Linked DNA regions of Anolis sagrei. Each later gene encodes a partner of the first gene's protein in a complex. Links are inferred from orthologs where the notes say so. Each region holds a gene or a part of one and is shown on either strand. Other genes may lie near its edges.

Evidence for each region. Proteins that work in one complex are often made in the same cells at the same time.
Region 2: the proteins of BMP10 (region 1) and ACVRL1 are in contact, whole or in part, in a crystal structure (PDB 6SF1), measured with the Homo sapiens proteins. The link is inferred for Anolis sagrei from reciprocal best matches to the Homo sapiens genes BMP10 and ACVRL1. Residues at the interface, in NP_055297.1 of Homo sapiens: Tyr322, Asn357, Tyr358, Pro359, Ala361, Glu362, His363, Pro366, Thr367, Lys368, Ile371, Leu375, Leu378, Lys379, Ser381, Lys386; in NP_000011.2 of Homo sapiens: His40, Val54, Val56, Arg57, Glu58, Glu59, His66, Gly70, Asn71, Leu72, His73, Glu75, Leu76, Phe84, Val85, His87.

The regions. Positions count from the first base shown.
Region 1 is NC_090027.1:20,128,975-20,136,580, reverse strand, and holds the start of BMP10 (bone morphogenetic protein 10), read left to right. Parts: upstream 1-4,514; 5' UTR 4,515-4,608; coding exon 4,609-4,903; intron 4,904-7,606. UniProt on the Homo sapiens protein: Required for maintaining the proliferative activity of embryonic cardiomyocytes by preventing premature activation of the negative cell cycle regulator CDKN1C/p57KIP and maintaining the required expression levels of cardiogenic factors such as MEF2C and NKX2-5.
Region 2 is NC_090022.1:139,386,712-139,394,289, reverse strand, and holds the start of ACVRL1 (serine/threonine-protein kinase receptor R3), read left to right. Parts: upstream 1-4,573; 5' UTR 4,574-5,091; intron 5,092-7,578. UniProt on the Homo sapiens protein: Type I receptor for TGF-beta family ligands BMP9/GDF2 and BMP10 and important regulator of normal blood vessel development. On ligand binding, forms a receptor complex consisting of two type II and two type I transmembrane serine/threonine kinases.

The DNA.
Region 1 (7,606 bases):
ATGGCATAGGGAAGGGTAAACACCCCTGTTGCCTGTATCTCTGTTCAGAAGATTTCACCCCACTTTCTATCCCTGTTATTATTGGATTTTGCAAAATGTGGCTTGTTGTGAAAACAAGTATTGGGGACAAAGCTTGAGCAGAGACCCTTTCCCCCCTGATACCAACTCTCCCAGGAGTGGATTTCCCTTCCTTTCAAGAGGAAGATTCCTCTCACTTCCTATTGTCTCAACCTCCTAAATAGGAGTTGGATGTGTTTATAACTATATCTCTATATATATCATAGATTTGGAAGGGGTCCCCAAAGGCCATCCAACCCAGTTCTCTTCTTAACTGTGAGTCATTTGTAAATTGGATGTCTGTAACTTGGGAACTGCATATATATAGGTCTCTATATGTATATATTAGGCTTGGGCAATCCATGGTTCTAAATGGTTCTAAAGTACTTACAAAACTAAAGTTCTGGTGGTGAAAATTTCAGAACTCTAACAAAACTTTCAAAATTTAATTATTATTTCATTATTGGTGATTTTAATGACAGAACCAATTAGGAACTGCCATTTATTATGAAATTTTGAGAGTTTTGTTAGAGTTCTGAAATTTTCACCACCAGAACTTTAGTCTTGTAAGTACTTTAGAACCATTTAGAACCATGGATTGCCCAAGCCTAGTATATATATGTGAGATCTAGTATAATGGCGCTCCTTGCAGTCATGCTGGCTACATGACCTTGGAGGTGTTTATGGACAACGCCGGCTCTTCGGCTTAGAAATAGAGATGAGCACCACACCCCAGAGTCGGACACGACTGGACTGAATGTCAGGGGAAAACCTTTACCTTTACCTATAGTATCCTAGATGTGGAAGGGCCCCCCAAAAACCATCCAGGCCACCCCTGTGCTTAACTGTAATTTAGAAGCTGGATGTTTGTAACTCCTCCTCCTCAATATGACATCCTTTCAGATATTTAAACATGGATCTCATGTTCCTTCTGAACCTTCTTTCCTCCAAGAAAAACATCCCAAACTTCTTCAGCCATTTTTCAGAGGGATTATTGGTTTCCAGAACTTTGAACTTTTGGGGAGCCCTTCTCTGGACACCTTCTTTCTTGTACATCTCCTTAGAATCATAGAATCCTAGTGTTGGAAGAGACTTCCAAGGGCCATCTAGTCCAACCCCCTTCTTTCTGTCCTGCAGGAAAAGCACAAAGTATCCCCGATAGACTGCCACCCAGCCTCTGTTTAAAAGCTTCCAAGGAATGAGCTTACACCAGATTCTGAGGCAGAAAGTTCAACTGCTGAACAGCTTGTACGTTCAGAAAGTTCTTACTCATGTTCAGGTAGAATCTCCTTCATTTGTCATTTGAACCCATGGCTCCGCGTCCTAGTCTCCAGGGCAGCAGAAATGAAGACTGTTTCCTCTTCCTTATGACAGCCTTTCACATATTTAGACATGGCTGTCATTCCTCCTCCACTCAACCTTCTCTTCTGCAGGATAAACAAACCCAGCTCTTTAAGATGCTCCTCAGACGGATTATTAATGGTCTCCAGACCTTTGATCCTTTGGGTCTCCCTCTTCCTCTGGACATCTTCCAGCTTGGAATCATGGTGTCCAGAATTGGACACAGTATTCCAGGTGAAGCCTGACCAAAGCCAAATAGAGAGGCACCAGGACTTCCCTCGATCTAGACCAGTGGTTCTCAACCTTCCTAATGCCACGACCCCTGAATACAGTTCCTCATGTTGTGGTGACCCCCAACCATAACATTATTTTCGTTGCTACCCCATAACTGTAATTTTGCTACTGTTATGAATCGGCATGCAAATATCTGATATGCAGCATGTATTTTCATTCACTGCACCAAATATGCCACAAATACCCGATATGCCCAAATTTGAATACTGGTGGGGCTGATTTTGTCATTTGGGAGTTGTAATTACTGAGATTTATAGTTCATCTACAATCAAAGAGCATTCTGAATTCCGCCAATGATGACATTGAACCAAACTTGGCACACAGAATTCCCATGACCAACGGAAAATACTGGAAGGATTTGATGGGCACTGGCCTTGAGTTTGGGAGTTGTAGTTCACCTACCTCCAGAAACTCAAACAATGATGGATCTGGACCTAACTTGGCATGAATATTCAATATGCCCAAATGTAAACACTAGTGGAGTTTGGGGAAAATAGACCTTGACATTTGGGAGTTGGAGTTGTTGGGATTTATAGTTCACTTACAATCACATAGCATTCTGAACTCCGCCAATGATGAAATTGAACCAAACTTGGCACACAGAACTCCCATGACCAACAGAAAATACTGTTTTCTGATGGTCTTTGGCGACCCCTCTGACACCCCCTCGCGACCCCCACAGGGGTCCCGACCCCCAGGTTGAGAACCACTGATCTAGACACTAGATTGGCCTTTGAGCTGCTGCATCATACTCGTGGCTCATGTTCTATTTGCTTCCCACGAAGACTCCAAGATCTTTTTCACATGGACTGTTGTTGAGCCAGGCATCTCTCATTCTGTATCTTTGCATTTCATTGTTCCCTGCCTAAGTGTAGCATCTTACATTGCTCCTTGTTGACATTCATTGTGTTTCTTTTGGTCAATCAGCTCTCATCTGTTGAGGTCCTTTTGCATCCTGACTCTGTCCTCTGGAGTATTCGCTCTCCCTCCTAATTTAGTCCCAGCTGCTAGCTTGATACGAAGCAGGCCCTCTAAACCTTCATCCAAGCCATTAATAAAGACGTTGAAGAATATTGGGCCCAGGACCAAACTCTCAGGCACTCCTTCTTCAATTGCTTTGTCCAGAATGGGACATAGGGCTGTCATTCCAGGTGAGGAGATCTTCCCAAAGCAGAAGAGAGAGACTAGGAGTTTCCTCGATGTGGATTATTTATTTATCGTGTCATCCGCAACCAGAACATTGTATTACATTTCTAACAGAACAAAACAAACAAACAAACAGATGAAAAAAACCCCCCACAAATTTTGCAAACTTGGTAGCTGATTAAATGTCCTTTGACCAGTATCTGACCACTTGGAGTGCCTCTGGCGTTGCCACAAGAAGGTCCTCCATTGTGCATGTGGCAGGGCTCAGGGTGCATTGCAGCAGGTGGTCAGTGGTTTGCTCTTCTCCACACTTGCACGTCGTGAATTCAACTTTGTAGCCCCATTTCTTAATATTGGCTCTGCATCTTGTGGTGCCAGAGCACAGTCTGTTCAGCGCCTTCCAAGTCGCCCAGTCTTCTGTGTGCCCAGGGGGGAGTCTCTCATCTGGTATCACCCACGGATTGAGGTGCTGGGTTTGGGCCTGCCACTTTTGGACTCTCGCTTGCGGAGGTGTTCCAGCGAGTGTCTCTGTAGATCTAAGAAAACTATTTCTTGATTTAAGTCATTGACGTGCTGGCTGATACCCAAACAAGGGATGAGCTGGAGATGTCTCTGCCTTGGTCCTTTCACTATCGGCTGCAACTTCCTGGCGGATGTCAGGTGGTGCAATACCGGCTAAGCAGTGTAATTTCTCCAGTGGTGTAGGGCACAGACACCCTGTGATAATGCGGCATGTCTCATTAAGAGCCACATCCACTGTTTTAGTGTGGTGAGATGTGTTCCACACTGGGCATGCATACTCAGCAGCAGAGTAGCATAGCGCAAGGGCAGATGTCTTCACTGTATCTGGTTGTGATCCCCAGGTTGTGCCAGTCAGCTTTCGTATGATATTGTTTCTAGCATCCACTTTTTGTTTGATGTTCAGGCAGTGATTCTTGTAGGTCAGAGAACGGTCCAGAGTGACTCCCAGGTATTTAGGTGCGCTGCAATGCTCCAGTGGGATTCAATGCAACGCTTCCAGTGGGACATGAGAGAAGCCTCCTCGCAGGATTGCAAGACATCCGGGCGTCCCCTGGGCAATGTCTTCATAGACGGCTGATTCTCTCGATCCAGAAGCAACCAGAGAAACCAGAGATGTGGATGCTAGGCTCCTATGGATGCAGCCTGGAATGGCATTGGTCATTGCCACATCACACTGTTGACTCATGCTCAGGCTGTGGTCTCCAAAGATCCTTAGATTCCTTTCACACGGAAGGTTCTTCAGCCAGGTGTCCCTCATCCTATATCTATGCAGAACCGGATGCAGGATTGAGCCGTTGCCATTTGAGCACATTAATTCTCCAGTGCAGATGCCCCCTTAGAAACAGTCCTCAGAGAAAACAGAAGTAGAGGAAGGGAGGGTATGTCCTTCCGCACAAGACGAGGGGAAAAAGTTGGCCAACTCTTCCATCGCATCCCAACGAGGAATGTTTACACCATGCTCATTAAGAGAGCGGCGCATTTGTGAGATAGAGACCGAAATCTGGTGGACAGCTTACACTGGGGGAGATAAGGCAGCGAAGGCGACCATTGGAGACCAGATCCAATTACTGAGACCTGGACGAAAGGGGGTGGGATTGGAAGGAGAGGCGTTCGCATGACAAGCGCCTGGGCAAGAGCTTCCAGACTTGTCCACGGCTAGTGACAAGCACCATATATATCTCTATCTCTATCCATTGTGCTGGGACGACCATATATATCTCTCTCTATCTGTTGTGCTGGGACGCAACCATGAGAAAGGCAACTATGAGGCTGGTGGCCTTGCAAATGTGGGCCGTCATGCTGCTCCGCATTGGAGACGGAGGTCCCATCCGAGACCTGGATGCGCCGGAGGATGTGGCCTTCTTTGACGAGCAGGACCCCATTCTGCAGAACCTATTGAAGGCCCTCAACATCTCTGAGGTCCCTGTCCAAGAACCGGCCAAAGTGGAGCCTCCCGAATACATGCTGGAGCTCTTCCACCGCTTCACCCTTGACAAGAGTTCTATGCCCTCCGCCAACATTGTCCGCAGCTTCAAGAACGAAGGTAAGGCCCGGGACGCTCTCCTTGAGACCTTAGAGATTGCTTGGCCGGACATTGCCTTACTTTTGGGAGCTTCTTGGGTGGAAAGAAGGAAAATGCATGAATGGCTTAGAAGAAGGTTTAAAGAGCATGCTTCTTATCAAGTTTGGAACCAAATTGGGATGGAGAGCTCATATTGCAGAAGACAGGGTCTGGATGCAAAATGACCTTCACACGACTATTGTTCCTGGGTTACCAGTGTCATTTCCTAATTGGTTCCATCATCAAAACATGGAAATGCAGCACATTATATATTATTACTAGCTATCCCCTGCCACACGTTGTTGTGGTCCAGTCTAGTGATCTGAAAAATAAAGTAATGGTTTCTAATATATGTAATTCCTTTATACTTGTGAGTAAACTATTCCTTGTTGTTTCTTTGTCAGTGTTGATGTGGAGATTGTCTGGTTTGCCTACTCTGGAACATGCAACATATAATTATCCTTCTTTAGGGGCCCCTTTCAAATCTATGATACTATATCTGTGTTTGTGTGTATGTGTGTGAATCATCATATATCTATCTTTATCTATGGCTGGATAGCTCTTTATCAGGAGGGCTTTGATTACGTTTTCTTGCCCTAGTGAAAGGAGTTGGACTGGATGGTCTTAAGTATGGTGGTTCTGTGTGGGACTTTTGCCCCAATTCTGTCGTTGGTGGGGTTCAGCATGCTCTTTGATTGTAGGTGAACTATAAATCCCAGTAACTAGAACTCCCAAATGTCAGGGTCTATTTCCCCCAAACTCCATCTGTATTCATATTTGGGCATATGGAATATTCGTGCCAAGTTTGGTCCAGATCTATCATTGTTTGAGTCCAAAGTGTTCTCTGGATGTAGGTAAACTACAACTCCCAAGCTCAAGGTCAATGCTCACCAAACCCTTCTAGTATTTTCTGTTGGTCAGGGGAGTTCTGTGTCCCAAGATTGGTTCAATTCCATCATTGGTGGAGTTCAGAAAGCTCTATGATTGTAGGTGAACTATAACTATAAATCCCAGCAACTACAACTCCGAAATGACAAAATCATTTTTTTAGTGAAGGACATATATTGAGTTGTTAGATGTCTTGTGTCCAAATTTGGTGTCAATTTGTCCAAACATTAAATTTTTATTTATATAGATTGTATATTTTTATTAATAATAATACTATATAATATCGTATATTATTATTGTATAATAATAATAATAACACTATGTAAGACGACAATCTAATTTGTTAGATCATAAAACATGGGAAATATTTACTAAACTGCAAAAAGTTTGTGCGGGAGAGAGATCGTCCTGCAGCACATTTCACCCTAGTTTTTCAATGAATATTTCATCGAGTCTAAGCCAATTAGTCTGTGGCAAAACAAAGTTTCTGGAGTAGAACAACTACTTTCAAAGAAATTGATTATATGGCAGTATAGACTCATAGAATCAAAGAGTTGGAAGAGACCTCATGGACCATCCAGTCCAACCCCCTGCCAAGAAGCAGGAATATTGCATTCAAATCACCCCTGACAGATGGTCATCCAGCCTCTGTTTAAAAGCTTCCAAAGAAGGAGCCTCCACCACACTCTGGGGCAGAGAGTTCCACTGCTGAATGGCTCTCACAGTCAGGAAATTCTTCCTCGTGTTCAGATGGAATCTCCTCTCTTGTAATTTGAAGCCATTGTTCCGCGTCCTAGTCTCCGAGGAAGCAGAAAACAAGCTTGCTCCATCCTCCCTGTGGCTTCCTCTCACATATTTATACATGGCTATCATATCTCCTCTCACCCTTCTCTTCTTCAGGCTAAACATGCCCAGTTCCTTAAGCCGCTCCTCATAGGGCTTGTTCTCCAGACCCTTGAACATTTTAGTTGCCCTCCTCTGGACACATTCCAGCTTGTCAATATCTCTCTTGAATTGAGGTGCCCAAAATTGGACACAATATTCCAGGTGTGGTCTAACCAAAGCGGAATAGAGGGGTAGCATGACTTCCCTAGATCTAGACACTATGCTCCTGTTGATGCAGGCCAAAATCCCACTGGCTTTTTTTGGCGCCACATCACATTGTTGGCTCATGTTTAACTTGTTGTCCACGAGGACTCCGAGATCTTTTTCACACGTACTGCTCTCAAGCCAGGCATTGTCCCCCATTCTGTATCTTTGCATTTTGTTTTTCCTACCAAAGTGGAGTATCTTGCATTTGTCACTGCCGAACTTCATTTTGTTAGTTTTGACCCATCTCTCCAATCTGTCAAGATCATTTTGAATCCTGCTCCTGTCCTCTGGAGTATTGGCTATCCCTCCCAATTTGGTGTCATCTGCAAACTTGATGATCATGCCTTCTATAGACTCATTGATATGAGTATAGACTCATATCAATCCATTTCGAAGCAGGTAATATGGATTATCTGCTTTGATAATCTGAATTACATGGCAGTGTATAAAGCGGTCTTAGTGGAGAACCAGTTGAACATGAGCCAGCAATGGGATGCAGCAGCTCCAAAAGTCAATGGGATTTTGGGTTGCATCCAAGGAGTCTCTTCTATCTCACAGAAGAATAGATTTGGAAGAGACCCCCATGGACCATCTAGTCTGACTTTCTTCCATGCAGGGAAAGGACAATCAATTTGTAATTTTATTATTATACTAGCCGTTCCCCGCCACGCGTTGCTGTGGCCCACATAGGGGTTCTGTGTGGGA
Region 2 (7,578 bases), on another chromosome or scaffold:
AACAAACAGGTACTTTAAGGCTTTCTTAATAGTCTATTGGCTCTCTCGATCTTGTCCACAGGGAACAGGCACTATCTTCATAAACTGTATTTCAACTAATGGGGAAATCCTTAACCTCTAATCTAGGCAGTCTGTCTTCGCCTCTGTTGGTGTGGAGCCCCTACACCCGGTACCAACTGCTTCTGGCTTCCACAAGTGACCCTTACCAAGCAGAGCTTTGTAGACTTCCAGGGGGAAAGGAGTTCAGGTTTCTGTGATGGCTGGCTGAAGTCCTTCAGCAAAGGAGCTGTAGGGCTGTATAACCCTGGCCAAGCTGTGAGCTGTATATCTCCCCGGCCAAGCCGTAGAAGACGAAGCTTTCTACAGGAGCTCTTGGTATTGTGTCCTGCATGAAAGGCTTCTCTGTGTAGACTGAACTCAAAATGGCTCCTATTCCCTCTAAAACCCAAAAAGGGGGCGGAACCAGGGAACCTAACTATAATTGACAGGTGGCTTGCCCTATGATTGCAGCCAAAAGAAGCCACCTATCTGCAGAGTTCCTGAAACTTGGGACTATAACAAACATTAAATGCGAAGCAAACAAAATTGGAGCTCTTGGTGCAGTTGTACCTGCACATTTGCTACTTTCATTGCTACTTTCATTGCCTATATGTCTATAGGACATATTGTATAAGCTAGTTATTTGGGTTCCAGTCCTATATGTCCTATAGTATTTAAGTGCTTCAAGATAACATCCAAATCTTGCATTGTATAAGCTAGTTATTTGGGTTCCAGTCCTATATGTCCTAAAGACATATAGCACTGGAATCCAAATAACTAGCTTATACAATGCAAGATTTGGATGTTACCTTGAAGCACTTAAATACTATTTTTATAGCACAGGTTTGGTGTGCAATGGTCTGCTTCAACAGATGTAACTCATCTACAAAAATCATAACAGAGGCCCATCTACACCAACACTAAAATTCTGCTTGAAGTCAGCTCAAGTTTAGTGTGCTCAGAAAACAATCTCCAGAGCAGTGTTATCTTTTTTAAAAAAACTCACCAGAAATCCTGGATCAAGCTAGAAAATCTGCTGAATTCCTTCTGTGTATAAACAATGCAAAAGAAGAAGCCAGACGGCAAATGCAGGGATTCTCATGTAAACAGGAGTAAGAAAGCATTCACAATAAAAAAGCAGCTGTAAAGCCCAGCTGGAAAATAAATCTCTCTCCCACCCACCCCGCTAAGGAAAGCCCAGCGTTCCCATAGGAATGCCTGATTTTACTGCCCTGCCTTGCTGAGTTGTGAGGCAAGTGCTTCTGAGAAGTTGTTTGTCTCTTAGGGGAGGTAAAAAACATATTCCTGGATTTCAATTGAGCCAATCAATCTGGAGCAGAATGTGATGAAGAAATCCTGTGGATTTGTGTGGACTCACTTGCATATACCAGCCAGTTCCTGTGGTGCCTATGTCGGCACTCTGGAGTGAACTGGATTTCTATCATTCTCATTCTGCTCCTGATTAATTGCCTATGTAGAAGTACCCTATGTTAGTTCTCAAAATAGTTTTTGCAAACTGTTATTAGGGTATCTGTCTTGTTCAGAATGGATATGATAAAAATTAGTTTGAGGAAGGAACACATTTTGAGACACTGCATATTGGCAGAGGTTTCTAGTGAAGGCCAATGGGTCCCATGTCAATGGGGCAGTGAATTTGCTTCACATTTTAATCCAGATTTTGAAGGACCTATCCAAAGTAAACCCTAGTTCATACCCTTAGGCATCTTGGATTGCTGTTTTAAAGTTCAGACTCAGCCCCAGGACAGATTTACCACCACCACTGATATGGAAGCCACCAGTTCTCCCTGGATTTTGATATTAATGATGCTGAAGAAAGAGGACTTGCATGTAATAAGCAAAAATATGCCCCCTCTCTATGCTGAAAAAAGAAGAACACATCAAATGTAACCTAGGTTTTTCTTTTCTTTTTCTCCCCTTGAATGAAGAGAAAGTTGCAAGGGATTATATTATATCTTGCATTTCTATCACATGGTTGTCAAAAGCATAGGAACCCCACTAGTGGGACTCTCACACTAAAAGGGGCATTATGAAGTGTCAGTATATGGAAAACGCATAGGGGAACAGGAAGGTCCAGCCAGGAGGTGTGAATTAGGAATTCCTACCTACTGAATCACAGCTTTAGGGTAGTGCTTAACAGGTTACAGAATATTGTTGTGAATGCATTACTTATAGGGGTGACATGGGCATAATGTGTTTGTTTTTTTTTGTGAGGTACCATTGCAACCTTACTCCTATTTTTATCTCATTAGAGTTTTTTTTAACATTTTATCCTGTACATGTGGCCTGCCCACTGTTACTGCAATTGTGTTTATTGTAATGTTATTTTGTTACTGTATGCATATGTGTTTTTTTAATGTAATTTTGATGATTTTGCTTGTTGTTTTTGGTTTTATTTTGCTGTAACATGTTGTCTGGGCTTGGCCCCATGTAAGCTGCTCCGAATCCCCATTGGGGAGATGGTGGCGGGGTATAAACAAAGTTGATTATTATTATTATTATTACTATTACTATTATTATTATTATTATATCAGAGATATTTTGAGTTTGAGATTTTGAAATGCCTGTATATGCATATATGTACATAATGAGATGGGACAAAAATCTAAAGATGAAACTAATTTATGTTTCAGAGGCACCTTATACATATAGCCTGGAGGTAACTTCATATAATATTTTGAATAATTTTGTGGATGACACCAAGTTTGGGCACACTGAAGCATCACAAAGCCAAAGCATCCTTATCTCAGACAGGCACATGGACAATTTTAGATTTCAGAATTCAAGATAAGGTATGCTCAACTTGTACTTGTTTGGAGGAATTATATTGAAGAATTAGGACATTTTTCTATTTTTAAGTGTGTTGTTATGAAATGATGATGTTGGTGGTGGTGATGCAATATGTTAATGACAGGCTGCTAATGCACAATTCTTCCAGTAATGAGTAATATATTGACTTTTAAAAATATGACTAATGTGTTACTTTTTAAAAGCTAGATAGAATTTATTCTATTATCTTTTTACATTATGCCTTGCCTCTCTTTCATTGGTGTGGGCAGGTGCAAAATGACCTTAATTGTATCATGCTGTAGGGAGTCCTTGAGATAGGTTTTAACCCACATTCAGTTTTAGACCCATAGTCTCCAGAAATTTCTACGTTTCTCCCAATCTCTAGGAGAAGATAGATTTCAGGGTCAGCAGCACTGGTAGAAGATAATGTTTATATTTCTGTGTAACGTGGTGTTACAGCTTAGGAACTCATCTCTAATGGGTCCTACCTGACTCCAGAGCTCACTGGCTTGATGTTGCTTATTTGTTCAGTCGTTTCCAACTCTTTGTGACCTCATGGACCAGCCCATGCTAGAACTTCCTGTCGGACATGGCCACCCCCAGCTCCTTCAAAGTCAAGCCAGTCACTCCAAGGATGCCATCCGTCCATCTTGCCCTTGGTCGCCCCCTCTTCCTTTTTCCTTTCATTATCCCCAGCATCGTTGTCTTCTCTAAGCTTTCCTATCTTCTCATTACTTCACCTTTGCCTCTACTTTTTTGTATGTGCGTGGTGTGGTGATTTTAGCATTGGATTATAACTCTGGAAAACAGAATCCAATTCCTGCCCAGCCATGAAACCTTCTGTGTGACCTTGGGCAAATCATACACTCTCAGCCCTGGAAAACCCAGTGACGTATGGCCTTAGGGTCACTATAAATTAGAAACAGCTTGCTGACACACAACAACACAACTGTACTTATGCAATGTCAGTACACTGAAACATTCCCGGTCTACTTGGCATTTCCTCAAGAACTTGTTTTGTCTTTACTTATTTGCCTTCATATTTTAAAATATTTTGTGCACATCTCCAGCTTTGAATATCTGTAATCCCACTGGTACCTCCCACCATGTTTTTCAGCAGCTCTGTTTTGGTCCCAGTCCTGTTGGTACTCACCATCTGTGTTCAACATTGGAGAAGATGCTGCTGCTGCTGACAGCTTAAGTGTATTCTGGTCTTCAACAGAACGGCCAGTCTCACTTAAGCACAGGAACCAAACAAGGGCTGAGCTCAAAATGTTGCAAGACAGCACAAAATAACTGTTACTTTGCAAGCTTCACAAACTTTACTGGGTCAAGAAGCCCACTGATAGCAGCTTACCTAAAGGTAAACCTTAGAAAAGTTACTTTGAGGACCACCCAAAAATATTTTCTCAAAGGGAAGCAGAAAACCTAGCAGGGTTTTGACAGGTCACTGTTCTTCTAGTTATCAGACAGGATAACGTTTTACTGTTTTGGACAGATAAAGTAGTGATTAGTTTGGTTAACTAACACATAGCTTTGGATTAGTCCATTCAGATTTGAAAATGAAGGCGGCAGCAGGGAAGGATGGGAGGAAGGAAACCCAGAAAGGTGAGGCAATAGGGAGACCATAGAGAACAATTGCACAGGGCCCTGCTGTGCTTGGGAGGAAGAGTGTGTTGTGTGTGCGCATATAGATCTACGCTCCGCAATAGGAAATGCTTTATTAGCTGGGAGTGGTGGAGAAAAGCCAGGCAGGAAGAGGCAGTAATAAGAAACATTTTTAACTTCTCCCACATCCAGAGCTTGCCAAACCGCTGCTTTCAGCAAGAGGGAAAGAGCAGGGGGGCTGGAAAGAGGATCCTGTCTCCCCCCACAACCCAGCCTTACACACTCCCAGCTGCCTTCAACTCTGTGGCTTCCTTGAAACGGACTTCACTGGAGCTCAGCTTCAGCCCCAATCTGGGGGCACTGTTCTTACTGAAGTGAAAATCCAGGAGGACTGGAACCGTTGGAAAGGAAACCCATGAATCCATCTCAGGCCATGCATCTAAGACCCATGAAGAGATGCCCAGTGTGACTTCAGTCAACAACTTTCCCAGAAAATAAAAACCCATCTCGGACTCTGGTACCAAAGAAAATGCTTTCATCTGAGGAATTCTCAGCCAAGGCCTGCTGAAAGGAGATAGACGGCAGGATACGGTTTAAAGCCCAAGTTTGCTCCGTTCTGTCTACAAAGACTCCCGGGTAAGTTAGAATTAATGTGTGTCTCTCTTGATTCGTTCCATATTTATTTGAAGACATTCAAGAGAACATCTCTCGGGCAAAAGCGGGGGATAAATGTGACATTTTTAATATCAAAATTTTAGGCCTCAGGCTTTTTATAGCATGGAGAAACTATTTAAATCCTGTATGTCCATTACTCCTGGGCAAAATAATTACAATAGCAATGATGAAAGAGAAAGGAAGTACATTAGAGTCTTGATTATCCAACCTTTGCTCATCCAAAGTTCTACATTATCCAACACAGCCTGCCTCCCTCCCGGATCCACAGACATTGCGATGTTTTGCTGCTAAATTCGTAAATACAGTAATTACTACGTAACATTACCATATATAGAACTGCTTTTTCTGTCGAACTGTTGTAAAACATGATGTTTTGGTGTTTAATTTGTAAAATCATAACATAATTTGGTGTGTAATAGGCTTTTCTTTAATCCCTCCTTATTATCTAACGTTTTCACTTAACCAAAATTCTGCCGGCCCATTTATGTTGAATAAGCAAGATTCTATTGTAGCAAAGAATAATGCAGTTATTAATTTTGTTTTTATGCTATGCATTTTCAGCACTGCAAGAACTATTCCATGATATCATCAGGGATTTGCATTACACAATACACAATGTTACATATAATGTCTTCTTTCACAAATCTGTTGTGGACATGGCCCACTAGGGCCCCTTCCACATGGCTGACAAAAATCCCACATTATCTGCTTTGAACTGGAATATTATTTATTTACAGTATTTATATACCGCTTTTCTCACCCCCGGGGGGAATCAAAGCGGTTTACACAAAAATAACGCAAAATTCAATGCCTTATATATATAAACCAAAACTCAATCAACAACATATAACTAGCATAAAATCAATATATGGCAGTATGGACTCAGAAAACCCAGTTCAAAGAATATATTGTGGGATTTTATGATTGTAAGCCGTCCTGAGTCCCCCTTCGATGGTTGAGAAAAATAATGCAGCCTTATTTCTCTGGGTTATATGGCTGTGTGGAAGGGCCCTAAGTTAGCATGTGGCCCTGCAAGGCTCTTTCTGTGACCCTTGGCTTCAGACAGCAGTTTTTCTCACAAAATTAAAAGGGGTGTTGATGTGTGTCTTCTAACGCCTTCATAGATTTTGGTAACATTGCATTTTAAAATATACATTTTTAAAATACTAGTTTTTCAAAATAAGTGATAGACTTCTCACTACACCTGGTTTGGGTTTTATTCTTTGCATGTATGGCCCACAGACACACTCAAGAGCAGAAAAATGACCTTCAGTCTGCCTAAGTTTCCCTCCTCTGACCTAAAGAAAAGTCCTGCCCCTCAATATCCAGCAGGTCTGTGCAAGAGCTAGCAGGCTTCTGCTAGATTTTAAGGGAGCACTTATCAAGAGATAAAGGCCAGAATCTTCTTGGTGACATACACTGCTATAACATTATTATTATTATTATTATTATTATTATTATTATTATTATTATTATTATTTCTAAATCGCCCTCTCTCCCCAGAGGGACTCAGGGAGGTTTACATATATATATATAAAGGCAAACATTAAATGCCATAATTAAATCACACAATATCAAAAGATGAAAAATAAACATTATCAGACTTATTGCAACAAGAGAATTCAGATTAAAACAAGAGATACAAATACTGAGGGAAACATAATTATATCAATAAAACATAATTGCACTAAGCATATACCCTAAACAGTTAAAACGACCAAACTGAAAAATGTGGCAAGCATCAGTTGTACTTTAAAGTAGACTGTAGCAGCCATAAAGTGCTGGTTGTGATAGTCCTTCTCCTCTCTGTAGAGAGGAAGGTGGAGGCCATTTTTATTTCTTTAGGGAGGGAGTTCCAGGGATGGGGAGCGATCACAGAAAAGGCCCCCTCTCTTGTTTCCACCAACAGCGCTTATGACGGGATGGGACCGAGAGCAGGGCCTCCTCCACTGACCGAAGTGTATGAAGGGTCTATATTTGGGAGATGCAGTTAGACAAATAGCCTGGAGCCAAACTGTTTAGGGCATTATAGGTAACAACCAGCTCTTTGTATTTATCTCAGAAGCAGACCAGCAGCCAATGGAGATGCCATAACATGGGACTGATTCTCTCCCTGTACAGAGCCCCAGTTAGTAACCTGGATGCTGATCTCTGGACTAGTTGAAGCTTCTGAACTATCTTCAAAGACAGCCCCACATAGAGAGCATTGCAGTAGTCCAGGCAGTATATAACTAAGGCATGGACTACCATGATCAACCTGGATTTATGCCAATGTATATTATTTTGGGGAGTCAATGTAGTATAGTGGTTTGAGCATTGGACTATGACTCTGGAGATCAGGCTTTGAGTCCAGACTTGACAACTGGAAATCCATTGGATGGCCTTGGGCAAGTCACACACTCTCAACTTCAGAGGAAGACAATGGCAAACCTGAGATAAAATCAGGTT